Ovis aries: one gene and its partners. The protein of the gene in region 1 interacts with the protein of each later gene in a pairwise test. Links are inferred from orthologs where the notes say so. Each region holds a gene or a part of one and is shown in the gene's direction. Other genes may lie near its edges. The genes, in order: CEP70, DDX6, ZNF366, CWF19L2, BRMS1, TTLL10 and NKAPD1.

What was found.
Region 2: the proteins of CEP70 (region 1) and DDX6 interact in a two-hybrid assay, tested with the Homo sapiens proteins (2 studies listed by BioGRID and IntAct). The two-hybrid records come from large-scale screens. The link is inferred for Ovis aries from reciprocal best matches to the Homo sapiens genes CEP70 and DDX6.
Region 3: the proteins of CEP70 (region 1) and ZNF366 interact in binary tests that used the Homo sapiens proteins (3 or more experiments, as listed by UniProt). The link is inferred for Ovis aries from reciprocal best matches to the Homo sapiens genes CEP70 and ZNF366.
Region 4: the proteins of CEP70 (region 1) and CWF19L2 interact in binary tests that used the Homo sapiens proteins (3 or more experiments, as listed by UniProt). The link is inferred for Ovis aries from reciprocal best matches to the Homo sapiens genes CEP70 and CWF19L2.
Region 5: the proteins of CEP70 (region 1) and BRMS1 interact in binary tests that used the Homo sapiens proteins (3 or more experiments, as listed by UniProt). The two-hybrid records come from large-scale screens. The link is inferred for Ovis aries from reciprocal best matches to the Homo sapiens genes CEP70 and BRMS1.
Region 6: the proteins of CEP70 (region 1) and TTLL10 interact in binary tests that used the Homo sapiens proteins (3 or more experiments, as listed by UniProt). The two-hybrid records come from large-scale screens. The link is inferred for Ovis aries from reciprocal best matches to the Homo sapiens genes CEP70 and TTLL10.
Region 7: the proteins of CEP70 (region 1) and NKAPD1 interact in binary tests that used the Homo sapiens proteins (3 or more experiments, as listed by UniProt). The two-hybrid records come from large-scale screens. The link is inferred for Ovis aries from reciprocal best matches to the Homo sapiens genes CEP70 and NKAPD1.

What each region holds. Positions count from the first base shown.
Region 1 is NC_056054.1:251,250,955-251,254,454, forward strand, and holds part of CEP70 (centrosomal protein of 70 kDa), read left to right. Parts: intron 1-206; coding exon 207-353; intron 354-514; coding exon 515-683; intron 684-1,059; coding exon 1,060-1,174; intron 1,175-1,637; coding exon of another isoform or gene 1,638-1,656; exon of another isoform or gene 1,657-2,155; coding exon 2,156-2,235; exon of another isoform or gene 2,236-3,500.
Region 2 is NC_056068.1:29,112,375-29,115,874, reverse strand, and holds part of DDX6 (probable ATP-dependent RNA helicase DDX6), read left to right. Parts: intron 1-2,429; coding exon 2,430-2,559; intron 2,560-3,434; coding exon 3,435-3,500.
Region 3 is NC_056069.1:9,288,153-9,291,116, forward strand, and holds part of ZNF366 (zinc finger protein 366), read left to right. Parts: intron 1-1,360; coding exon 1,361-1,884; 3' UTR 1,885-2,964. UniProt on the Homo sapiens protein: Has transcriptional repression activity. Acts as a corepressor of ESR1; the function seems to involve CTBP1 and histone deacetylases.
Region 4 is NC_056068.1:15,697,041-15,701,180, forward strand, and holds the start of CWF19L2 (CWF19-like protein 2), read left to right. Parts: upstream 1-1,340; 5' UTR 1,341-1,358; coding exon 1,359-1,451; intron 1,452-3,776; coding exon 3,777-3,887; intron 3,888-4,140.
Region 5 is NC_056074.1:40,819,862-40,824,053, reverse strand, and holds the start of BRMS1 (breast cancer metastasis-suppressor 1), read left to right. Parts: upstream 1-1,392; coding exon 1,393-1,531; intron 1,532-1,600; coding exon 1,601-1,691; intron 1,692-1,847; coding exon 1,848-1,975; intron 1,976-2,122; coding exon 2,123-2,202; intron 2,203-2,287; coding exon 2,288-2,384; intron 2,385-2,905; coding exon 2,906-2,998; intron 2,999-4,156; coding exon 4,157-4,192. UniProt on the Homo sapiens protein: Transcriptional repressor. Down-regulates transcription activation by NF-kappa-B by promoting the deacetylation of RELA at 'Lys-310'. Promotes HDAC1 binding to promoter regions.
Region 6 is NC_056065.1:50,636,746-50,640,848, reverse strand, and holds the start of TTLL10 (inactive polyglycylase TTLL10), read left to right. Parts: upstream 1-1,303; 5' UTR 1,304-4,103. UniProt on the Homo sapiens protein: Inactive polyglycylase.
Region 7 is NC_056068.1:22,066,709-22,070,966, forward strand, and holds the start of NKAPD1 (uncharacterized protein NKAPD1), read left to right. Parts: upstream 1-1,458; 5' UTR 1,459-1,522; exon of another isoform or gene 1,523-2,091; intron 2,092-2,904; 5' UTR 2,905-2,912; coding exon 2,913-2,981; intron 2,982-4,258. Other genes in the region: PIH1D2 (PIH1 domain-containing protein 2), read right to left, coding at 1-89.

The sequences.
Region 1 (3,500 bases):
GATAATCAGTATATGTATAATGTTTTTTGTAAGGCCTGAAGAAAATGAATTTAAAAGACTCTTTCTAAACAGGTAACGGTATTTTTTAAAAAATACTGATGATGGTTAATATATGTATTACATCTGCTTGGATAGTTATATTTTATTAACATGATTATGAAAACTTTAAAAATGCATAATAGCATATTATTTCTTTTGTTATGAAGGATTTATATAAGTCCTTGAAAATACTGTCTACAGAACTGGTGCCTTGGCATAATTTAAAGAAGCAGGATGAAAATGAAAGTGTCAGAGTTGAAGATCTATTGTTCATAGTAGATACCATATTAGAAGAAGTTGAAAATAAGGCAAAGGTAATACTACCCAGTACTTATATAGACATTCACATTTTAATGTGAAATTAATGATATGGATACAGATATTCTACTATAACTCTTTCTCTTGTTAAAGTTTTTATAAGATTTGGAATAATTTTAAGATGTGAACTTTCTTTTACTTCCTCTCTTTTGGGCAGGACAGCAATATGCCAGACTTCCACATTTTGCGAGCTATTGTTTCTCACTTCCAAAAATTATTTGATGTTCCTTCTTTAACTGGCGTCTATCCTCGAATGAATGAAATTTATACTAGGCTTGGAGAATTGAACAATGCTGTGAGAAACCTCCAAGAACTCTTAGAACTAGGTAATGACTCATTTTCATTTTGGCCCCCCACTTAATAATGATTTTTAATAAGTCTGACTCTTTGCAATCCCATGGACTGTAACCCACCAGGCTCCTCTGTCCATGGACTCCTCCAGGCAAGAATACTGGAGTGGGTAGCCATTCCCTTCTCCAGGGGATCTTCCTGACTCAGGGATTGAACCTGGGTCTCCTGCATTGCAGGCCGATTCTTTACTGTCTGAGCCACCAGGGAGGCCCCATTAATAAATCAGCAAAAAGTAGGTAAAAAATTGAGGGTAACAGAAACATAACGTTTGATTTAATTAATTTAATTGATTTGATTTTTAATTTTGAAAATTCCCTTAAAATATTCTTTCCTTTTATTTCTCTTTTGCAGATAGTTCATCCTCATTGTGTGTGCTGGTGAGCACAGTTGGAAAATTGTGTAGGCTGATTAATGAAGATGTGAATGAAAAGATTATGCAGGTATTAGGACCAGAAGACCTTCAAAGGTATTTATTTTAAAAAGGTTGCAAAGTATTGTCCAGAATGTTTGGAGTAAAATTAAAGATTTTCAAAACTTCATAAGTTATTTACCTTTCCTGTTTGGAATAGCATTTGTAAAAATAATTTCACACCTTAGGGATGGAGAGAATATCAAATATTTTCAAGATAAAAGTAGATTCTGGGGGTCTGAGTCAGGACTCTAGCATTTTTGATATAAGCTTATTCCCAAGGGAAATTATAATTGGAGAAAGTCAAACTTTGTCAGCAACTTCATGTTAATTCAGAATATATAAGTAAGTCTAGTTTCTAGTAGATTACCATATATCACTGATTAATCACTAAGAGTATGTGCATTGTTTGATAAAATATTAAGGACTTCTTTTTTAAAGCTAGGCATCTCCAACATAAAACCTAATTTTTTTTAATGTCAAAATGTTATAGCTGTACTCTTCCTCCCTCCTCCCTCAGATTTTATACTGCAGCATAAGGGAAGTATATGTTCCATACGTTCTGCAAGTTTTCCAAGAGGAACCCTAACCTAATCTGACACTTGAGGTTTCTGACACTTGATGATTTTAAAAGGAACGTATGTCTCACTATTGGTATTTTTCTCCCTCCCAGTTTTACAGATTACTGATACTTATTCTTAATGTTTAATAGAATACAGGATATGAAAATCAATTATTTTTAGAAAACATTGGTCTCTTAAGACTCCTCAAGCTAAATGGAAAATTCCCATATTAGAAATGTTAGATTTAACCTTAGAACAGATGATTATACCGCTAGTAGATTTTTTTTTGTTGTTTTAGAAGACTATTACTAGATGAACAAAGAGCTCAGAAGGAAAGATTGCAGTAAATAATCATTAAATTTGTATTTAAATTACCAGGACAGTTTCTTTCTGTTTTGAAATGTTCTATGTCCAATCAAATGTAAGAATCGTAAGTCAGAAATTCAGTATAAATTGTGCTTTTTTTTGTTTAAAGCATTATCCACAAATTGGAAGAACATGAGGAATTTTTCCCAGCATTTCAGGCATTTACTAATGATCTACTCAAAATCTTAGGTAAGATTTTTGTCGGAGGTGGTTAAATATTGAGTCTCAGGATGGCATTGGGTTTGAGGAAAGAGTGTTCCTTAGTCACTGTATTAGTGTTTTTACCTAGAGTGGTAGAAAGTGGAAACCACTAATAGTAGTGAAAACAAACTTCCAACTTTTGCAGTTAAAGTTGGTTGGGGTTAATCTACAGAACACAGAAGCACATATTCTTTAAGGAGCTGAGCCTTTTGTTTTAGGACCTTAAAATGAGAAATGACATTATTCTGGCTAGGCCCACTCTAACCCTGACTGTCACTGGATAATGAGAAATGTCTGTAGAATTTATGATCTTGATAGGTGTGTTTTTAATTTTTCTTCCCCCTCTTCCTCCTTTTTTTTTTTTTAAAAAAGATAGCTCCTACCTACTCTCTTTTTTTAAATTTAATTTCCTCAGATGATGAGAAATAATATAACGTAAACATCTGTAGAAAGATAAATTTATAAGTTTGTGGAAGGGAAGAGATACATTTACACTCTTGGTCAGATTGAAGGCTTTAAGGGGAAAAAAATATAATTAGAAATCATAGGCAAAATAAAAACCCACATCTCTTACTTTAAGTGTGATTTATTATGGCTATAAAAATAATTAATCTTACCATTAAGAACACTTTTTAGGGAATTCCTGGTGGTCCACTGGCTAGGACTCTGTATGTTCACTGTTGAGAGTGTAGGTTCATCCTCGGTAGGGGAACTAAGATTCCCTAATCCCAACAAAACAAAATTACTTTTTAAAAAGGTTACAGTGATTTATTTACTTCATTAATTCATTATGATTAATATTTTTTCTGTGTAGCTCATTTGAAGTAGAAAGGTTTTTTTTGTTTTTTAAAGGATAACTCTTTGACATAGGAAATTAAATTAGAAGAGGAGATAAGGTTTGGTAGAAGATAAAGGAACGAGTAAGTTAAAATTTGGTAAGAAGATGAGTAAATGAAAGGCATATCTGATTAGAGTGTATAGCCTAGTTGAACATAATTTTTTGTGGCCAATTTTATGTAGACTGGAAGCAACGGAGACAGTGAGTGTACTTTATTCATGCTCATACGTTTGAAACGATCATGGCAAGGGAAGACATAATTTGAAAGTTTAACTTGAGATGTGAAAATGTAGAAATGTATTTATTGCCTTGTGTCTCAAAGAGTTTGTTTCCTGCAATATGATTTTACTTGCTTTGAGGTAGCGATTAACAGTGAGTTTGTCATTAACAAACATTTTACTAGGTGTGCTATTAA
Region 2 (3,500 bases), on another chromosome or scaffold:
GCTTTTTGACTTAGCATATTTTAGGATTCATCCATATTGTAGCATGTGTCAGTACTTTATTCCTTTCTATTGCTGAATAATATTCCACTGTATGGCTATACCACGTTTGGTTTATCCATTCTTCAGTTGGTAGAGTTGTTTCCACTGTTAGCTATTATGAATAATGCCTTTTTGAACACTGATGTATGTAGAATTTTTTGTGGAGGTATTTTCATTTCTCTTGGGCATATACCTAGGAGTAGAATTGCTGGTTCATGTGGTAATTTTTTATCTTTTTGAGGAACTGCCAGACTATTTCCCAAAATGGCTATATATTCTACTTAGTAGTGTATGAGGTTCCAGTTTCTCTTATTTGCAGACCTAAGTTCAAATCCTGATTCTAGCATTTCTTGCTTAATCACCTTGTGCAAAACAATATTGAGGATCCATTTTGCCATTTGTAAGACAAAAAGTAACCTAACTTGAAAGGATATAATTAACATTAAGTATCTAAGTGTAGTACCCATCACAGTAAGTTTTTAAAATTTTTAGCTTCCTTCCTCCTTCTCCCTGGCAGTTCCCCATGACTTCTCTTGAGTTTCAAAGCTGTCTGAATCTGGCTTGAATTTCCTCACTTCGGATTGTTTAATCTTCCTAGCAAACAGTGATAAGAGACAGTGAATATACTGAATTCTCTGACTGCTAATCATAATAGCCACCATATGAGACAAAGTACAGTGCATCTTACCTTACAGGCTAGCTAGCTTACTTTGTTGTAGCCCTATCCTTAAACAGTTTCTGTTTCTGTGGAACATAAGTCCTGTCAAAGAGCAGAGAAACAGAAGTCAGTGGCCTTTAAGCCATAATGTAAACCCCAAAAAGGAATTAGGATACCCCCAATCTAATTCTGTCCTGTCTGACTTCACTGAGGTATCTTATCCTTTTAAAGGACCTGACTCAGGAAGTCACTGAGAGACTAAAGTCTTTTTCTGCTGTCAAACTGAGTTGTATACTGGTAACCTGTTCAAAAACCATAATAGAGATTGAACCCATGTGATAATTGGCCTTCGGGACAACTGAAGATTAATAGAGTTGACTCAGAGTTGTGGCTCAAGGGATAAAGAATCTCCCTGCAAAGCAGGAGCTGTAGGAGACATGGATCCCTGGAGGAGGAAATGGCACCCTACTCCAGTGTTCGCGCCTGAAAAATCCTGTGGACAGAGGAGCCTGGCGGGCTACAGTCCACAGTGTCACAGAGAGTCAGACACGGCTGAGTAACACATGTGGTCAAGCAAGGAAGGATTTAAGACCAGAGGGTCAAACCAAGGCTTTCTTTGACCTGCTTCACCCTACATAATAAGCAGACTGTTCAATGCTGGCTGTCGGAGTAAATTAACAGAGTATTGTCACTGAACTATTTTCACAGTTGTTCTGGCAACAGTGTTAGTTATTCTGATTATATGGAACCCATCTGACCCCTATGATTGGGGTTCTAAAATAAGTGTCATGGTAGGAAATGAAAGTCATGATGCTTATGACTTGGGTATTTCTCCAGTAACAGTTTTAAATTGCTAGAGATATTTGTTTTGGTCATTAGCTCAAGCATAGAAAGAGCTAATTACAGTGATTGTGAATATTTTTCCTAATTTATTTTTCTAATTTTATAGTTGTAGAAATTAAAATTTTTTAGTTTTAGAAATAGAAGTGTTCTGCTTCCTCTGTTCATACCTGTTTTACCTTTTTTAATTTCTCTCTGTGTATGTATATTTAATATTTAGTAATTGTTGAGAATCCTTTGGTATTGTCTAGGAAATTTGCCCTAATAAGAAATATTATCTTCTGCAAAACACTCATGTCTGCAAAACACACGAGTAAGCCAGATTTGAAAACGAGAAGTCAGGGCACATCTCAGGACAGAAGTTGGCTGCGAGACAGACATTGGTCATTATGTAATACAATTTTAAAAAAAGATAGGACCCAAGACTAAACTTTTCCATCTGAGTCCTGTTTATGTAGAAATAAAATTGTCCAACCTACAATTTTTCACTGTGGTCAAGTTGGTTTACTAGTCTCAGAATATCATATAGTCCTTCTTTTGAATATTGTTTGTGCTGTTTTTTCTTTGTTTTTAATTGCAAAATGTCCTTCGCTTATTTTCCCCTGTGTGTTTATTGTGTCAGCCCAAGTTCCTCCTCTTTTTCTGTTGTTGATGCTCACACATACAAACTCAAAGGTTTTTATTACTAAATTTAGTGTGTATTTTATGAGTAGTTCTGATAAATGTAAGTTGATACTAATGGTGATGTTGACTGGTACTGCTAATTTATTTGGTCTTTTGTAAAATACTTCAATACCAAGGAACTTTGTATACTTTCAGTGTGTTTTAGAGAAGAACTCGCCTATGTACTGATTTTATTCACAAGTAATATGCATTGTTCCATCTCTTCTAGGAGGAGAGCATTCCCATTGCTTTATCTGGTAGGGATATTTTAGCTAGAGCAAAAAACGGAACAGGCAAGAGCGGTGCCTACCTCATTCCCTTACTTGAACGGCTAGACCTGAAGAAGGACAATATACAAGGTTGGTTTAAACTATAAATGCTGATTTAAATCTTGGAGCTGTATAGAAGATATTACCATCTTTTCTCAGTTGGAACTTAAATCATATGAAATTAGTATTTACCCTTTTCACAGCTTATGGCCTAGTTGTCTTGTAAAAATGATTCCTAACTTTTAAAAAGAGATTTCTAGTTTTTAAGGTTATTTTGCATATTTTACAGTTACTACAACATTCCAGTGAGATAGGCAAAATAAGAATTATTGTCCTGTAGATAGGGAAAATTAAATTGTCTGAAATAGATACTTAAAACTATGGAACTGGAACTAGAATGTTTCTTGTGACAGCTGTGTCTGCAGAGTTCCTTGTAAAAGCAGGAACTTTTTCTCTCTGAAGCCTTGTGGCTTGGGGATTTTAAAATCTTAAGTAGTATGGAAGAGACACATTTCCGTAACTGTACCCAGTAGATCTATGTTTTCACCTCTAAAGCTTTTTGTAAAGTTTTCAGTTTTTTTCTCCCCATGGTTTCTTGATCTATAATTATTTCTGCCATCTTCCTATTATGTTCATATGATATAAGTAGAACTGGGCAGCAGGAGTTTCCTATTTGGGCATTTTGACTAGTGATCTCTTACTAAAATACTAACAAATTTTGAGTTAATAATTGCCAACTCAAAGAACCCTTTAAGGCTTTGTAACCAGGAAGAGTAGAAGAATTGTATAGCATTGTTACTGAGGAGAAGTCTAAATCTGGTACACTATAATAGTTTCTTTTTTTGAAATTTATTCATTTGAGTGTCTTGATTACAAGGGGCAATATTTCTATAGCTTCTTAAACTCTTAAAATATGGCTTTTCCCCCCTCCTCTCTCCTTTTTTCTGTTTGTTGATATTTTCCAGCAATGGTGATTGTTCCCACTAGAGAACTTGCTCTACAGGTCAGTCAAATTTGCATCCAGGTCAGCA
Region 3 (2,964 bases), on another chromosome or scaffold:
CAGTGCTCCATCTGACAATCTAACTCGGTCACCAGAACTTACCCCACGTGGATGCTCATATCCTAACAGGCACCTAAAGACTGTCATTCTTCTGGAAAAATCAAGAGCATCACTATATTATCAGAGAGTTGCTTTGAAAGTTTGTAACAGACTTCCGACAGTGTTAATGCTTTCATCTACAAAAGGTTTTGGCATTTCTTCACTCTAGTTTTTGAAATAGCTCAAGAATCATGACCCAGATTAAAAAGATCCTCCCTCTGTCCCTGACAAGATTAAAGCTACCGATAGCTTCATCGCCTGACAACACGGTAAGGTAGGCAGCACTGGAGATCGGCCTCCTTGGTGTGTCCCCACCTCAGCAGCCTGCTTCTCCCTGGGCACCAGGGTCTGGCCACCCCCAGGCCCTCCCTGCTGTCCTCCTCCTCAGTCATCCCCACCTGTCCCTCCAGGCCTGGCCGCTGGCCCACCACGGACGGGTCGCGCCTCCCAAGTGTCTGCTGGCTGCTGAAAGCCCATCCCTGAAAGTGAGGCCCGCCCACCTCCCCGTGTCCAGTAGCAGGGACACTTGTGGTTGGGCAGGGGGCTTCGAACACCGCGGTGCACCTTCCTCTGCCCTTCCAGCTCTGTCTGTGCTTGGGGAGCCCTGGACCCAAATGCAATATCTGTTGGTTTTTTTTTCCACAATGAAAATATCTTTGTTATTTTTTCCTTATGGTAAAATATGTGTTCACTGTTAAAAGTAAAAAGAAATATATTCGAAGTGAAAAGAAAAATGTAAAAATCACCTCATAGTTACCCATTTTTGAGATTTTGACATATATCCTTCCAGACATTTTTCGATAGATAAAATAGAGTCTATACAATAAATATATATATTTTTTACTTAAAGTATATAGAGAATACCTTTTATGAGCACTAAGAGGTATCGACATATTATACACATAGAAATACCTTCTAACACATAATACCTTGACTGTTCTTTATGGTCTGAGACACCAGGGAAGCCCCATGGAGATACTACTATTTATGTAAACACACCTCTGTCCTTAAATGGATACGTTGTTTTCACCCATCCTTATACAGTTTTTGCATCTGCCAGACTATTTTCATAGTTTAAGTTTTCAGTCCTGTGATTGGCTAAGTTAAAGGTGTGCTTATTTTTAAAGTTTTTCGTGCACGTTGCCACAGTCCCCTGAAAGGAGTCACACGGATATAGATTCCAGCTGTGACAAGGCCCGTCTCTCTACAGCCTTCTGGGGATTTATCTAGTTTTAAAATGCAAAATCAAGTTATGCTAACTAGCCCTGGGTTCCACCCAACGACCCCTTCGGCGGCCTGAACGTGCCTTTGCTCCTGGCAGGTTTTGGAAGGGGGAGAATTGCGCTGGTGCCGACCGCGGGGGCCCTGCGGAGCCTGGAGCAGGAGGAGCCCTTCGATCTGTCCCAGAAGCGCCAGGCCAAGGGGCCAGCCTTCCAGTCGGACGGCGAGAGCGCCCGGGGCAGCTCCTGCCACGAGGAGGAGGACGAAGACAACTGCTACGAGGTGGAGCCAGACAGCCCGGGCCCCGGGCCCCGCGGCCCGCCGCTCTGCGCGCCGCAGGACCTGTCTGCCAAGCCGGAGCCGGGCCCTGGGGAGGAGGCGCCCGCCGAGGAGGCCTCGCCTCCAGGGGTCCGCCCGCTGAAGAGCCGCGACAGCCTGGGGCCCGAGGGCGGCCCCGAGCGAGAGTTCGCCCGCAGAGACGAGCGGCCTGGCCTCCGGGTCCTGCCGAGCACCCGGAGGGGCCCAGCCTTTTCTGATTACTTGTACTTCAAGCACAGAGATGAGCGTTTAAAAGAATTACTGGAGAGGAAAATGGAAAAACAAGCAGTGCTTTTGGGGATCTAAGTGGACGGTTTAAGAATTACACTTGGAAAATGAGAGCTAGGCAGTGCAGATACAGCTTTCCGCATGAGCTCTCATTTGCTGGAGACGAGAAGGGCATGAATCTTGACAAAGGGCGCAGACTTAGATGAGCAGAGAAGCAAATGCTTCTCAGATCTTGCATTTGGGCCCTTGATTTTTAACACACATGGAGGGCCTTCTTCAATGTTGTTTCATGGATCTCCAGTACAATTAACTGTACATACTGTTCTAGACATCTAATTGTAAGCTGATGCTGAGGTGCTTTTAGAAATTCTATTTTTCATTGACTAACATGGTAAATTTCTTTCTAGTTGCAAAAATATGGTGCTTGACATGTTACTTTATTAATAACTCTTTAGTTGAATTTGTGAAAGTTATATTTTTCCAGATAGATGAAAATAGTAGTAGTGGTATATATTTTTAAAATCATTTTATTAAATAATAAAAAAAAATATCAGAAATGACAGGAGGGTGAGTTTTTAAAGAGGATGTTCTGGAGTAGTTGCTGCAGATATAAGATAAAATTTCAAGAGAATGTGATTAATTTTCATTAAGGGAAAACCAGCAGTGCTTAGATTCCTGCCTGGGTCTGCCTTGTTCAGCTCCCGCTGCCTTCATCAGATGTGGCATAGGAGCGTATTTTCTGATGGCCCAGCAGTGCTCAGCGTCTGCAGGCTAACCCTGAGTCCTGAGCAGGGCTCCCTCCTGGAGACCTTGCTCCAAGGCCTCACGCCTTGTAAAGCAGCTGCAGGAAGAGCTGGCACCCTGTGAGCAGTGGATTTCTCATCAGTGCTGGAGCTACAGGGTTGGGGGAAGAATTCTCCCTGACATTTCAGCTGTAACTTATTTAGAGTATTGGAATAACCATTGCTAGGAAAGCAGTTGCGGGGCTGTGTTCTCAGTGCTGCCTGCACATTAGAATCATCTCAGGAGTAGTAGTGTTACCTGCTCAGTCGTGTCCAGCTCTTTGCAACCCCACGGACTGTAGCCAGCCAAGCTCCTCTGTCCCTGGGATTCCCCAGGCAAGAATACTGGAGTGGGTTGCCATTTTCTTCTCCAGAG
Region 4 (4,140 bases), on another chromosome or scaffold:
TCTGAGTGAACTCCGGGAGATGGTGATGGGCAGGGAGGCCTGGCATGCTGCGATTCATGGGGTCGCAAAGAGTTGGGCACGACTGAGCAACTGAACTGAACTGAACTGAAACACCAGATGTTGCTGTTCAATCACCCAGTCACGTTCTATTCTCTTAGACCCCATGGATTGCAGCATGCCAGGCCTCCCTATCCCTCACCATCTCCCATGCCCAAGTTCTTGTCTATTGCATTGGTGATGCCATCCAGCCTTCTTATCCTTTGATGCCCCCTTCTCCTTCACACCAGATAGTAGATGTATTTAACACAGTCAAAGGAAAATAGGTGTGAAGTGTAGCTCCTGTACAGTTAAGGGGCAGAAGAGCAAATTTAGTTACGTTCAAAGTTAGGAGTTTTTAAAGTAAACAAAAACAAAAAAAGAACAACTAGAAATATTCAGGCCTGCTCGCTGTTCTCTTTTATCTTCTTTATTCTCTGGAAAGGGAAGAAAAATACCCATTCCTCTTTTTTTTTCACTTGTTACTGAGACAGTATGAACAAACAGTATGAGGTCAGAAAAAATGTTACACTTTAAACAAGTATAAATTATGAAGTGCAATGCGAAATTCACATGACTTTTTCATATACTGTGCTTAAAAAAAAAAAAAAAATCCACCAAAGCAAACTGCTCACTCTTCAAAGCAAGTCTTCTCTCCTGCTAGCTTGCACTGTCTTTCTGGCCAGCCTTCCTTTAGTCCATTCCTCCAGCACAGGGAAACCTCTTTGGCGATAAGGGCACTTTGGTAGAAATCTTTACAACATGTACCTTTAATCTAAGGAAATGGCAACCCACTCCAGTGTTCTTGCCTGGAGAATCCCAGGGAAGGCGGAACATGGTGGGCTGCCATCTATGGGGTCGCATAGCGTCAATGCGGGAGACCCGGATTCGATCCCTGGGTCGGGAAAATCCCCTGGAAAAGGAAATGGCAACCCACTCCAGTACTCTTGCCTGGAAAATCCCACGAGTGTGGTAGGCTACAGTCCATGGGGTCGCTGAGTCGGACACGACTGAGCGACTCCACTTCAGCTGTGACATGCCGTCAGTCCCGTGCAAACTGCGTAATACATGTACGCTGACACAAGTCTTGTTCAGGGCAACCCCAATACACGAAGGAGTGTAACCCCTTGACTTAACCTTCGGTTTCTTCCAAACCTAAGGGGTAGACAATTTACCGAAATAATAAGCAACGGTTTGCGCATGCTCTTTTGGTGGCGCAGATTCCCTCCTCCCCCTAGTCGGAAGTCCCGGTTTGTTTACTAAATTACGACAGTCGTAAACCGAGATTTTTGTGCCGGCTTCCTAGCTTTACGACAACAACTATGGCGGCTGCCGGGGGTAGATTTGAAAGTGCGAGTAGCATCGAAGAGCGTAAAGAACAGATTCGAAGTGCCAGGACCGAGGTGTTGCGCCAGGTACCTCAGTTTTGAGGCTTTGGGAGTCATTTAGATTTGAGAGTGGAGGCTTTCTGGGAGTCAGGCGTCTAGCTCTCCTGCCTCCCTGCACCTTTTCCTGTTTCAGTTCCTCAGTATCTTACCGTATCTAGTTGTGTGGGGATAGATGTTTTCCTTTGGGATGCTCGCACACTGTTGGTATCTTCTGCCTCTTAGATGGTCTGGAAGGCTCCAGTTGCTCATATTCTTTTCCAGAAAACTTGTTCCTTTCCTCTGACGTTCCTTATCTTTTAAAGCATCCGTGCTTGACATTTCTAGCACCTGATCACCTGTGCTGCGCACTTTCGAGGGACCCCACTACTTTCCCTGCATATCTTACAGCCTAGGTCCTCCGTCTTGTTATATCTGAAATGAAATTTTCCGTTTTCAGAAACTCGTGTAAGGCACGTTAGAGTAGATCGTTTCATTCTCCTTTTAAGTTATTTGTGTCAGTTATCCGGCTTATTGCAAACCCGTACTGAACCAAACAGCGACTGAGACAGAGATCTAAAAAATTTAGCTCCTCGAAAAAAGTTGAGAAACGTGTTTTTCATTAAGATTGAAATGAGTAGAAGTAAAATAAGGAAGGGAGGAAGTAAACTGTACTATTGACTTAGCTCAGAAGATGTGAGAAGTGTGGCAGGGGAAAAGAAGTGTGAAGGGGAAAAGTTGTAGTTAGAGAACAGTGTAAGGTGAAACAAGTGATGATCATTATTTTATCTGTTTTAAGCTATAACCGTTTAAAACACATTTAAATGCTGCTGCTGCTGTTAAGTCGCTTCAGTCGTGTCCGACTCTGTGCGACCCCACAGACGGCAGCCCACCAGGCTGCCCTGTCCCTGGGATTCTCCAGGCAAGAACACTGGAGTGGATTGCCATTTCCTTCTCCAGTGCATGAAAGTGAAAAGTGAAAGTGAAGTCGCTCAGTCGTGTCCGACTCTTCGCTACCCCATGGACGGCAGCCTACCAGGCTCCTCCGTTCATGGGATATTCCAGGCAAGAGTACTGGAGTGGGTTGCCATTTCCTTCTCCATTAAATGCAAATAAGGAACCGGTGTAGGAGATAGGAAGGAGAAGTTATAATGACTGCAGTCAGATTTTACAGGGGAAGAAAAGGGCAATAAGTCTTACAGAGGTGAAAGATTGGTGGTCCCTGATTTCAACATATGTAATATATGTGTATAATAAATATCCTTCATCCTTGTCTCTGATATTTCAGAGGGAGTTTTTGGAGGGAGTGGATTTGTAAACTATGATAAATTTTATAGTATATCTATGTACAGAATTTTGAGAAGGACCAATCCTAGCTTTGAAATTTGGGGAGAGAATGAAAAGGCAGGAACAACTTCTTAGGAAGCTGTTACTTAGTTTGACTGTTTTTGAATGATAAAAACTTATCAATATGATCATTTGTTTTTAGAAAGGTGATTCTTTCTGAAGCATTTTGAGGGTGTGGGTAGAGGGTTATGGACATTGCAGATTGAGGGTATGGAGGTCAGTCTCCTAACAGTTACAGAAGTATCAGGCGCTGTCAGTGGAATAGCGAAGGGAAAAGAAATTCAAGTCATTTTTAAAGTAGGGAGCTTAGGGGACAGGAAGAGGTCTGCAGTAGGTCCCAAGATTCTGTCCTTGATTGGTGGCTCATTTCACTGTACTGTGCTGTGCTTCCTCATGCAGTCCTGTCTGACTGTTTGTGACCCTGTGGTCTGTAGTCCACCCGGCTCCTCTGTCCATGAGGTTCTCCAGGCAGGAATACTGGAGTGGATTGCCACACCCTCCTTCAGGGGATCTTCCAAACTGAGGGATTGAATCCAGGTCTTCCCCATTGCAGGCGGATTCTTTACTACCTGAGCTACTAGGGAAGTCCGGTTCCTTTCACTAGTGATTGCTAATTGGTAATGCAATTGGTAATGTGGAAGGAGAATTTGTTGTTTTTAATCTTTCTTACACTTTGGTAGGGGCTTCCCAGGTGGTGTTAGTGGTAAAGAACCCACCTGCCAGTGCAGGAGACGTAAGAGACGCGGATTCAGTCCCGAGGTTTGGGGAGATGCTCTGGAGGAGGGCATGACAGTCCGCTCCAGTATTCTTGAGAGGAGAATCCCATGGACAGAGGAGCCTGACAGGCTACAGTCCATGGGGTTGCAAAGAGTCTGTCACAACTGAAGTGTCTTAGTATGCATGCACACACACTTTGATAGAAGCAAATTTGTGGTGAGCCTTGCACGAAAGTGGGGGAGGTTTCTGTTTTGCTTTTTTGGTGAGAAGTAGGTGGGTCAGTTGTTAATTTTTCTTTTTTCACGGTTTTAGGCTAAAGCCAATTTTGAAAAGGAAGAAAGGCGTAAAGAACTGAAACGACTTCGGGGTGAGGAAACATGGATGCTACCTGATGTGATTAAGAGAGTTGAACAAATCTCACAGGTAAATACTATTAGGCTTACTTGGTGTAAGCTTTTTTTTTTTGCACTTATTCAAGTTAATACTGGAGGAGCAAGTTTATAAACTCTTTTTCACAAGTTAAAGAATGAATATCACATAGTTGACAGTACTGAATATTTGTCTTTCTGGCTAGAGTAGTATATATTGATATTTTGGACATGATATTGGAAAGATTGTATTAGTTGAGTTGGCTGGTAGAAAGCTTAGATCCAAGTTTCCAGTCCACTTGTGGTAA
Region 5 (4,192 bases), on another chromosome or scaffold:
TTCCATCATGAGCCCCTTCTCACTCCACACATTCTGCCTTGCTGGTGGCACACTCTCCCAAGGTCTGAAGAACTCACTCAATGTGATGACCAGATCTCTGCAGCCCAGATTTCTCTCTGAGGCTTAGACCCATGTGTCCCCACCCCTGCCCCTTCTCTCCTTTCAGGGTCTTTTTCATGCCACTCACTCTCCTTAGAATGCTTTCTCTTCCTCAGCCAGCTCAGCTCATGGGTTTGGCCCTTCATCCTCTGCAAGCCCTCACTGCTGCAGCAAGCTCCAGGTTTCATTTAGCTGCCTCTCCCATATGCTCTTGGTCTTAACTCTTCTGCTTCCTGGCCTCTCTCTCCCAGGAACTTGTCAACTCCTTGAGATCAGAAAACTGTCTGCCGCACTTGAGCCAAGCTCCTACCATAGTGTCTGATGGTACCTAGCATATGTTAGATTTTTCAATAAAGATTAAATCAGTGAGTAAAAAGATGTTTAACACTGTTCTTTGTTGCTGAGAAGTCAAGATAGAGACCAAAAAATATTGGCATCGGGTACAAGGAGGTCATCTATTAACTCTACAGGATCAGTTTCAGCTGAGAGCAATGATATGGAAACAGATTGGAACAAGTGGAAGGTGAAAGAGTAGGAAGAGCATGTGTTTACAAGACCTTGCAAAGATGGGAAATGGGGGCCGTGATTGAGTGGAGTGGGATGAAGTTTTGTGTTTCTGCTTTTTCTGCATGTTGGGAAATACCTAAACATGTCTAAAGTTTCCTAAGAGCTGCCAAGAGGGAAAATTGAGCATGCAGAAGAGAGAGTGGAGTACTGATGACTTGGGGTCTTAGAGGAGGCAGAAGGAGGTAGGATTTGAGCATAGCGAGAGGACCCGAGCATTGTAGGGTGGGAAGAGAAGTGGAGGGCTTTATAGGCAGAAGAACAGCACAGTGGGCAGCAGGGGCTGGGGAGGAAGTGCGTGGTGTATTTGAGAACTGGCCATTAGATGTGGGGTGAAGGAGCTGGACAGCGGTTCAAGTCCAGTGTGCAGGGCCTCGAAAGCCTGGGTCAGAATTTTGGCCCAGTCCCGTAGGCAGTGGAGAGCCCATCTTGGCCTTTCCCATCTTACAGATCATCACCTTGGCCAATATTACGGGGATTGTGATCACCAACAATGTCCAAGGGGATGGGCATTTCTGTGGCTCCTAGATTTCTGGGAGATGTGTAGATGGTTCCATTTGTACCTGCCCCACCCTGCATGTCCCTAGGGCCCAGCGAGTCCAGTCCATTCCCTCCCCTGCTTGTCCCCATCCACAGCGAGGCTTGATTTGACTCCCCAAGTGACCACTTTGCCACTCGGAGCTGGGGACAGGGGCGAGTGATGGCTCCACTGCTCCTCCCAGCGCCCAGATGCCCGTCCAGCCTCCAAGCAAGGACACAGAGGAGATGGAAGCAGAGGGCGACTCAGCTGCCGAGATGAATGGGGAGGAGGAGGAGAGCGAGGAGGAACGGAGCGGCAGCCAGACCGAGTCCGAGGAGGAGAGCTCAGGTGAGCCCCACACGCCCTCGAGCGCCCTGCCTGCCCCCGCAGCCGGCCCTGACTGGCCTCTTGTCCCAGAGATGGACGAGGAGGACTACGAGCGGCGCCGCAGCGAGTGCGTCAGTGAGATGATGGACCTGGAGAAGCAGTTCTCGGAGCTGAAGGAGAAGTGAGCGAGGGGCCCGGGGCTCGGGGCCCGGCTTCCAGGAGGCAGCGGAGGGCCTGGCGCCAGCCAGGGCCGGTGTGAGCAAGGGCCTGACCCGGGGCGCTGGGCACGTGTTTAGCAGATGGGCACACGGGCGCACGGCTGCCTTTCGCCTCCCAGGTTGTTCAGGGAACGACTGAGTCAGCTGCGGGTGCGGCTGGAGGAAGTGGGAGCTGAAAGGGCACCCGAATACACGGAGCCCCTGGGGGGGCTGCAGCGGAGCCTCAAGATTCGCATTCAGGTGGCAGGTCTGTGGCCCGTCCTGTGCCCCGTCCCCTTATGAGAACCCACGGCTCTCTGTCCCCTTCCCCTCTCACCCGTGCCCTGCCTCACCCGCCTTTGTGGGCAGCCAGGGCCCTGGCCAGGCCCGGCCGCCCATCGCCCTCCCTCCGCAGGGATTTACAAGGGCTTCTGTCTGGACGTGATCAGGAACAAGTATGAGTGTGAGCTGCAGGGAGCCAAGCAGCACCTGGAGGTGAATGTGGGTGCGCCGGGTGGGGAGGAGGTGGCCGCCCCGCCCCACCCCGCCCCGCCCAGCTGAGCCGCTGCGCCTCTTGCAGAGTGAGAAGCTGCTGCTGTACGACACGCTGCAGGGCGAGCTGCAGGAGCGGATCCAGAGGCTGGAGGAGGACCGCCAGAGCCTGGACATCAACTCTGGTGAGGCCAGCGGCCAGCCGGCACCCCTGTGCTTCCAGCGCCCGTTCCCTGTCTGGGCCTTGCCTTCCCCGCTTGCATGGGGGTGGGTGTAGGAGGGCCTGCTCCGTGCTCACCGTGGGGACTGACGGAAAGCAGGCGGGGAAGGGCCCAGCCCGGTGCCTGGTGCACAGTGGCAGCTTGGGGGTGCCCTCCCTCCGTGCTGGTCCCAGAATGGAGGCATCATTCTGACACACGTGCCCCTGCCATGGCCACAGTGTGCCCATTCACACAGGGCACTGGGGAGGGAGGGACTAATGATCTCACACCCCCATCCATGAAACAGATGAGGAGACTGAGGTTAGCAGAAGCACAGTGACCTCTTTCCCAGGATTGAACTCAGCTTCCAAGCCCAGGCTTCTCTGCACTGCCCTGGGGAGGTTGATGGGGATGGGCTGGCCTGGCCCACGTGAGGGACACAGGCTTCAGGGGTGGGGCGTCCTGGGAGGACGGCACCCTGATGCTGACTCTGGTCTGGGGCGCAGAGTGGTGGGATGACAAACTGCATGCCAGAGGCAGCTCGAAGACATGGGACTCCCTGCCACCCAACAAGAGGAAGAAGGCGCCTCTCGTTTCCGGTATCCTTCCCCATACAGTGGCCTGAACTGGGCAGGAGGTCAGGGTGGAGGCACATGGGGGACAGAGGCAGACCAGACTCACTTAAGGTCATCTGGCCTCCTGTGGCCGTGTCCAGGCAGATCAGCTGTTGAATTTTCTGCAGGGTCCTCCTGGCCTGTGTGGACCATGGAAAAATAGAAGCATTCATCCAGAGATTTCCCCATAGTTTTCTGAGTGAGGTCTCCTCTGAGGCCCTTCTGGCTTTCTCACAGTGTCTTGGGCATGTCCCAGGCTCTCCCACCCCCATGCCTTTGCTGACTTTACACTCCCCTCTTGGATGCCTTTACCTGTCTGCCTGCTCGGTGCCCATCAATTGTCACCTCCTCTGTGAAGCCTCTCCTGGTTTCCCCGACAATGGCTGTGGCTTCCCTCTCCTCTGCACCCCTTTACCTGAACGGGGGCACCTGCCTCCCTTCTGGACATAGTCACCTCTGCCGCCCCCCAGGTGTGAGCCCCTCTTGTTCAGGGCCTGCTGTGCCGGCCTCCCCCCCTCGCATAGCCCAGCACGGAGTTGAATTGAATTCTCAGGTATACACACCCCTCCATATTTCTGCCGCAGTCAGATTATCAGGAAGTTGACCTCCTGGTGATGGGGATCATGTTCAAGCAGGGAGGGAAGGATCTGGACTGCAGAGGCTTGAGCGGGGGTGGGAGGTGAGGGTGTGGAGACGTCAGCGGGCAGAGTGGCCAGTCCCCAGACGGGCGGGTGAGACCGATGGAGGGTGGTTTTCAGGACAGAAGAGATAGATGACAGTCTGCGTGTAGGTGGGGCCAGTTGAGGGAACAGGGGGCGAGATCCCTGAGTGGGTGGCCTGGGCCTGGGCCTTCTGACCTTGAGGCCTGAGAGGAGGTGAGGAGGGAGCCAAGGGGCTGAACGCCCTCTGTGGACTGGGTGAAACTGAAATAGGCCGCAGCCACGCACTCCACCCTGCTAAGAACCCAGGAGCCACGAGGTCGGAGGTGGAGCCTGAGTGCTGCCCCAGGTGCTCGGCTCCCCAACCCGCCATCCACGGCACCGCCGCCTCTGAGTGCTGGCACCTCCCACCCCCTGGGCTGGGGGCCCGGTCCCATCCCCTGCCCCCTCCCCACGTCTCCTGTTTCCTTGACCCCCATCTCAGGCCCTTACATCGTGTACATGCTGCAGGAGATCGACA
Region 6 (4,103 bases), on another chromosome or scaffold:
CCATGGGTCCCAGCAGTGCTACACTTCCGCCCAGGCCCAGGCCACACCTGACGCCCCAGCCCTGGGACCCCCAGAGGGCTTTCTGTCACAGACACAATGGACTGTTGGTGTAATAAAGCATGGGGGCTCCTGTTCAGCTCAGGTGCACTGGCGATAGGCTCATACTGCTGGCGCTGCCACTGGGCCATGAGAGCCCTGGGCTGCAGCAGCCACATCCCTGGAGCCCCCCAGGAGCCTCTCCAGGGAGGCACCCTAATCGCTATGCCAGGCAGTGGTGGGGGATGAGGAGTACAGGATAGAAGCAACTCCAACTCCCTGTGCCCCTAGAGACACCCCAGGCTGCCCTCCCCAACCCCAGGTGGCACCAGGATCCTGAGGGTGCTGGCCTTCCTCCCCTGGGTCCCCATAGGCCTGACTTGGCTCTTGGGTGGTCGAAGGCCTCTCCAGGTACCAGGCCATCACACCCCATACCCAGGTACCGCTGGAAGGCCTGGTGGTCCTGCCCCCTCCCCTCTGCTCCACATCCAGACATCATCTGTCTACAGTGTTTGCCAGTCCCACTCGCAGCCTCATGGCTGTGCCCCCAGAGCCTCTTCCTTCCCTGAGAATTCTAAGCAGGCCCTAGGGTCCCAGTCCATGGCTGATGCCTCTGACCCAGGCTCTGCGGCCAGAGTCAGGGTAGAAGGGCCCTTCTCTCTGTCCCTCCCTCCCTCCTCAGTGACCACTCTTTCCTGAGTGCCCTCGGAAAGCCAGTGCAGCTCCAGACACACTGGGGATAGGGGAGGAGTGTCCCTGAGAAGGAGCCACAGACAGCGAGAAGGCTCTGGGCAGGGCATGTGGTCTGCAGGGCTGCTGGTGCTGCAGCAGCCGGAGAAGTAGAGGGGCTGCAGGGGTGGGGTGGGGGAGGCGGAAGTGGGGGTACAGCAGGGGCGGGGGGCAGGGTGGAGGGGCTGCAGGGGTGGGGTGGGGGAGGCGGAAGTGGGGGTACAGCAGGGGCGGGGGGGCAGGGTGGAGGGGCTGCAGGGGTTGAGGTTGGGGAGGCGGAAGTGGGGGTACAGCAGGGGCGGGAGGGCAGGGTGGAGGGGCTGCAGGGGTTGGGGTGGGGGAGGCGGAAGTGGGGGTACAGCAGGGGCGGGGGGCAGGGTGGAGGGGCTGCAGGGGTTGGGGTGGGGGAGGCGGAAGTGGGGGTACAGCAGGGGCAGGGGGGCAGGGTGGAGGGGCTGCAGGGGTTGGGGTGGGGGGCGGAAGTGGGGGTACAGCAGGGGCGGGGGGGCAGGGTGGAGGGGCTGCAGGGGTGGGGTGGGGGGTAAGGGGTGGGGGTGCTCAGGAAGGCCTCTCTGAGCAGAGGGACCCAGAGGCCAGAGGCTGCATGGGGGCCACTAAGGAGGCTTTCCAGCCCCAGCAAAGGTGCCAGTTCCCTGTAGGAGGCCGGGAAGACCCTCAACTACCACAGCAGGAGGGGCACTGGGCCTTTTCCCAGAGAGGGGCTGACTATCCCCTACTGTCCTCAGGGTACTCAGCCCTTAGGGTACTCAGCCCAAGCACAGCCAGGCCTGAGGAGAGGGGAGAGGTATCTGCCCTGCAAGGCTAGCCAGTTCATGCTGGGCTGCCTTGCTCCAGGTTGTAGATGTGACCAATGGCCCAGCCCTGGGCTGTTGTGGGAAAGGCTGCCGCCAGGCTGGCTCCCTCACCAGCTTCAAGTTACAAGGCAGTTTTTGAGTCTGAGCTCTTGGTGTCACCACATGGGCAGGGGGCTGCCTCCTGAGAACCCATGAGGAGCCACCAGAGGAGCAGGGAGGTGGGCTGGCCCAGCCCCTAGAGTCTGGGTCTCTAGAAATGAAGGGATGGAGGCATGGGCTCCTGGGGAGGACAGACTTCCAAAAGTCTTTGCTCGGGCCAGTGGGAAGACTGAGCGGACTGCAGGTGACCAGGGGCCCCCCTGCACACCCAAGGGTACTTGTCCCCTGCAGGCCCAGGCAAGGGCCCACCACCCTGAGGTCAGGATGCCCCTCAGACAATAGCTCAGCTAGGGGAGCTCTCCCCGCTCCCACAGACTAACTCTCGGGCAAAGGGATTTCAGACCACAGTCCAGCAGAACTGAGCCCTGAGGCCACCAGTGCCTGGCACAGGCAGCACACAGCTGAGGGCGCATCAGTCTCTGAGAGGAGTCAGGAGGAGGGACTTGGGCACATTAATTTCCTGGGGTGGCCACAGCAAACTACACAAACTTGGTAGCTTAAAACAATGAAAGTGACTTCTCTCATGGTCCCAGAGGCCGGAAGTCAGAAGTCCAGGTATGAGCAGGGTCCCTCTTGCTTCTTCTGGCCTCTGGGGCTCCAGGTGTCCCCAGGCTTGTGGCCACAGGGCTTGTGGCCCTCTGGCCACTGCCCACCTTCCACTGGCTTCTCCCCTCTGTGTCTCCTGCTCCCTGCCTCCCTCTCACGAGGACACTGGTTGCTGGATTTAGGGCCCATCAGATAATTACATCTGCCAAGACCATTTCTCCAAGTGAGGTCACATCCCTAGGTTCTGGGCCTTAGGACGTGGACACACACTGCAGGGGGCTGCCGTCCACCCTACAGGAAGCAAGTGAAGGCACTCTAAGGGGAGACGCCCTGGTGACCCATGCAAAGCATGGTGCAGGGTGGAGGAAGAGGCCGTGCAGGGCAGCCAGAGGCCCTCCCACCGCCCCTGGACTCCCAGACCTGGCTGTCAGCCCCATCTCCCCATGCCTTGCGGAGGCATGGGTCTGCAAAGCCCCACTTTTCATTTTGTTAAGTGAGGGCTCCACGTGCTGAGGCTGTGGTGAGCGGAAGTGAAGGGTAGCAGCTGAAGCACAGTGGGTCAGGCCTGCGGTCTGGGCATAGACTTGGGGATCTTGAGAAGGCTCAGGAATGACCCTGGAGGATGGAGGACCCGGATGGAGGACCCGGATGGCGGCTGTGCATGTAACGCCCCTCTTCCAACCTCAGTCATTCCCTGCCCCCACCCCCGGGCCAGCCTCCAGCCCCTCCCCATCCACCTGCTCACCTCTGGGCCACTGGGTTGTGGTTGCTGGGAGACAGTTGCCTGGTCACCACTGTTGTTTTCCGGGCAGAGGGCTCACACCACCTTATGGGGCAGGTAAGAGGGACAGGCAGGCCACAGTGGGGTCCTGGCTGGGCATGAAGGCTGGAGCCAGCTGTGCTGTGGCCCCTACCTGGCCCCGCAGCCCCCAGGAGCCCTATGGGTCCTCTAAGACTCTGTCCAGGAGTATAAGGGAGGGGAGGGAGAAGAGGGGAGGAGGGGCCTGGCTGGGCAGAGCCCCCTCTGAAGAGGGCCCAAGCACCCAGGGCCATAGGATGAGGAACAGAGACACCCAGGCCAGGCTGAGCAGGGCAGGCCTCCCGGGGGTGGCAGCTCCTTAGGACCAGCTGCTTTGCTCAAGACCAGGTCTGTCTCTCTGGACCAAACCCCAAAAGGATGGCCTCCTAAAATCCACAGGGACCCACATCCCCCAAACAGCTTAGCCCTGGCCAGAAAGCACCAGCCGGATGAGCAAAGTCAGCACTCCCAAGCGCCCGTGTGGCCAAGCGTATATCTGGGGATGGGCCCAGTAGGGCATGGTGGCATCTCATTTCTTGGACGTTTCCTTCAGCTTCATTCACCAAGGTCTTCCACTCATCACACCAGGGTGCCGTTTCCTGCTGGTCTTTTTACCTGACCAGGTAAATGGCTTCTTTAAAAGTTCATTATAAAGTTGGGTTTCCACTGACGGTCCCTGCTCTGCTGCAGCCGTCTTGGGAGCCCTGGTGCCATCCTGCCCGTGGGGCCGCGGCTGCCCAAGCTGCATCGCCAGTGATAACATTCCCTGAACATCTTCCAGCAAAAGCTTTCTATTTAGAATGAGTCTGTTAGAGAGATTCTGAGAAAGGTGATTGTGGGGACATCCCCCAGTGGTCCAGTGGTTAAGGTTTCCCCTACCAACCCAAGAGTTGTGGGTTTGATTCCTGGTCCAGGAACTAAGATCTCGCATGCTGTGCAGTAAGGCAAAAAAAAAAAAAAAAGGGTAATTGCTCAACAAAGGCTCTGGGAGCTGGAGCTGTGATCCCCCTGACCCCTCC
Region 7 (4,258 bases), on another chromosome or scaffold:
TAGCTCTCAGGGTTACTTTCAGCCAGATCATCTAAGAGGTTCCAGAACTGAGTAACCTGGGTAAGCAGACCCTTTGAGGATGACTCCATGATATAGATGAATAGGCCTCTTAAGCCTGTAGAAAGACATGACTTAAGGAAGAAAAAAATTTCACCTCAAATCTATTCTTCGCGGGGAGGAGGAACAGTTCAGGGGCTGTTTTGTTGAAGTTGACAGCTATTCTTAACACCAGTGCCTAAAAGATTATGGATCAGCACTGTTTTATCTTTTCCTTATATTCTATTTAGTACCCTTTCTTACATTCTCAAGATGCTCTCTCAGATGGTAAGTCCTTACCTCTGCATAGACCCTCACAAGCCTTGCTGCTGCTGCTAAGTCGCTTCAGTCGTGTCCGACTCTGTGCGACCCCATAGACGGCAGCCCACCAGGCTCCCCCATCCCTGGGATTCTCCAGGCAAGAACACTGGAGTGGGTTGCCATTTCCTTCTCCAATCCATGCAACTGAAAAGTGAAAGTGAAGTCGCTCAGTCGTGTCCGACTCTTGGCGACCCCATGGACTGCAGCCCACCAGGCTCCTCCATCCATGGGATTTGCAGGCAAGAGTACTGGAGTGGGTCGCCAGTGCCTTCTCCGCTTGAGAGGTCATTTAAAGTTTGGATTTCTCGGAATTTTCTTGTCTCAACACCCGGGTATATGCTAACTGGGGCCTGAATTTGCTAGAAGTGTGCTGTGGGTTGACGGCCACATGAGACTTCCTCAATCAGCATAGTTCAGGAGTTAAAAGCATGGACTCTGCAGCCAGAATGCCGAGATTCCACTCTTAGCTCTATCATTTACTAGCTGTGTGATCTTGGGAAATTAATTTACACATGTGCCTCAGTTTATTCTCCTCGAAATGGAGGCGATAATACGTATCTCATAGGGTTATCGTGAGAATTAAGTAAGCTAATACGGAGAGGCTGGAACACCTGCCAAGAATAATAATATTCTCTCTACCACTTGAGATAACCTCCCTCTAAGCCCCCTCCGTCAATGGAGACGTATCTCACAGCATCCACAGAATGAGGAGGATTCTCCAAATACTACATTAAGATTAGACTAAATGGGAAATTTAATTTTTCCAGAGGTCGGCGAACCTACCTCTTCCTTTGGTTACTTGACAAAACGCGACGCCTGTTACCAGGGTAACCACACTGGGACAACATCTAATTGAGTCCGGAAAGCTCCAGACAAAAAGGTCTTATCTTTCTACATCCAGTTCCCGAGTCTTCTCCTTCTGGTGCTGGGCTTGCTTTTCGGCTGAGCCTGACCCACTTCTTTTCCAGGACGGACCTTGCTTCCCGTTCTACTTCCGAAGACTTCTAGAGTGTCCTGGAAACCCTTCTGTGGGAATCCTTGGGACTTCTGTTGGTGGGAAGAATTTCCCATGAGCACCACTTCCGGCCTGGAAGGGAAGTCAGATCTCTCTTCTCCCAGAGAGCTTCCTCCCCCCCAACCCCGCTACGCGAGGCTGCGGCGCACGGTATGGGTGTGTTTGTGTGTGTTTGTGTGGGGAGGGTGTTTGGAAGGAAAGTTACCAGGAGTCCCGTGGCCGCTGGGGAGCAAGGGTCCCGGTGACGAAGATAGGGGTAGTTTCTCTGTTTTCCACTTGGAAGCCTCCCCCCGCCCCACCCCCTCTTCAGCCACTCTAGATACATCTTGGGGCCCAGTCAAGAGTCGTACCGGTCCAAAGCGTCCTTATCCCTTTTTGGGGAGTGAAACCCAACCCCTGGGATCGTCCCAGAGGAACGTGAGCGGGGAATGCCCCAGCCAACCCGGCCGCCCGAATTCCGCGCCGGAGCAGCCCCCGGCCTCAGTCCGGAGAGAAATCTGCCTGTCGGCCTGGGCTGAGGGGACGGCGGCCGTGACCTGGGCCACGGGTGAGGGCGGAATAACTGGTGGGAAGGCTGCGTTTTCACGAAGGACTCGGGTGAAGCTGCAGAGCTGCCTTTGAGCCCTGACTCCTTGGCTTCCTGGGTCGGAGGAGATCTTGTAATGGAATGGTTCTTCGTCTCACACTAACAAGATGCCTGATTTCCTCAGGATCGAGGGGTGAGTGAGCGGTGGGGTGGTTGCCCAAAGCCCCTGATAGCTACACATGTGAATATGTCTGTCATTTATTTTTTGGAGGCTTCTGGACAAAATAGAACATAAAATTCCCTTGAATGAAATAGTGTAGGGCATCTTTGCAGTTGATGTTTTTAGGCATCAGTTTTTGTTACTGTTGACATTTGTGTCCCTGAAGCTCTTAAATCTAGGTGTTTAACTGTAAACTAATTTGGAGATTTGGGAATTGATTTCGAATCTGAACTTTGTTTGCCCTGGACTGTGTGCCCTGGAGCAAGGTATGGCTTTAAGGGAATGTCATCTACAGAAAAGGAATGAAGGTGAAGTGAAGTGACTCAGTCATGTCCGACTCTTTGCGATCCCATGGACTGTAGCCTACGAGGCTCCTCTGTCCATGGAATTTTCCAGGCAAGAGTACTGGAGTGGGTTGCCATTGCCTTCTCCAGGGGATCTTCCTGAGCCAGGGATAGAACCCGGGTCTCCCTCATTGCAGGCAGACGCTTTACTGTCTGAGCCACCAGGGAACATAAAACAGTTATTTTAAGGATTAAATAAAATGGTGCTCTTGAAAGCACTTAATTTGGTGCAGTTTCAAAGAACTCTAATGTACATTATTTCCTTTCATCCTCACATTAGTGTGGACAGGTGTTTTCCCCTTTTAATGGTGAAGGAAAAACTATTCCTCAGGACCACTGACTTCTAGTTCGGAAATCTTCTCTTTAGCTCATGTTTCATTATAGCATAGTGATAAAAGATAACATATTAAATTATTAAATGTTACTTATTGATTCATTTCAGGTTGAAGAATGTCGCGAGTTCCTTTGGGGAAAGTCCTCCTGAGAAATGTCATCCGGCACACAGATGCTCACAATAAGGTCAGAGATACACCTTAGTTATTCCTCATGGTTAAGGAGGGTTAACAGTGTGCTTGGAGTGATTTTGGTACAGTTCGAAGAGACAAAGATACAATACATAGTTAGAATATAATTTGGTAAGTATTATAATGTAGACATACACAGAGTGCTTTCATCCACTGAGGAAGGAATAATGAACTCTGCCTTGGGAAATAGGGAAAGGCTTCACAGAATGGGTGGTATTTGAACTGCTGATATTTGAACTAGTTCTTAATGAACAGGTTCAAGTTTATCAGATGTCAGAGATCATTCAGCACAGAGGGAATATCATGTAGTAGCATATGGTAAGGAGCATGAAGCACTTAAGGGAAGAAATTGTATGCATCCATAAAGTGGAGAATTTGGGAGGTAATGGCAGAAGATGAGGCTTGAGTGGTCAATTAGAGTTGGATTGTGATGCTTGGAGATCAGACTTTTGCCTGTAGGCAATAAAGAAACCATTAATTATTTTTAAGCAAGGTTAGAGATGTTCAGTTAGTTCAGTTCAGTTGCTCAGTCGTGTCTGACTCTTTGCGACCCCATGAACCGCAGCACGCCAGGCCTCCCTGTCCATCACCAACTCCCGGAGTCCACCCAAACCCATGTCCATTGAGTCAGTGATGCCATCCAACCATCTCATCCTCTTCTGTCCCTTTCTCCTCCTGCCCTTAATCTTTCCCAGCATCAGGGTCTTTGCCAATGAGTCAGCTCTTTGCATCAGGTGGCCAAAATATTGGAGTTTCAGCTTCAGCATCAGTCCCTTCCAATGAACATCCAGGACTGATCTCCTTTAGGATGGACTGGTTGGATCTCCTTGCAGTCCAAGGGACTCTCCAAGAGTCTTCTCCAACACCACAGTTCAAAAGCATCAATTCTTTGGCACTCAGCTTTCTTTATAGTTCAACTCTCACATCCATACATGATCACTGGAAAAACCATAGCCTTGACTAGATGGACCTTTGTTGGCAAAGTAATGTCTCTGCTTCTTAATATGCTATTTAAGTTGGTCATAACTTTCCTTCCAAGGAGTAAGCATCTTTTAATTTCATGACTGCATTCACCATCTGCAGTGATTTTAGAGCCCAGAAAAATAAAGTCAGCCACTGTTTTCACTATTTCACTGTATTAATATTTTAGAAAGATGATTTGTTAGCTGGGGAGGGGATAGATCAGATGGGTTGAAATAGTAGAGAGGCCGGTTAGGAGACAGTTGTAGTATTTCAGGTGAGAGATAATGAGGGATTCACATGAAAACAGTG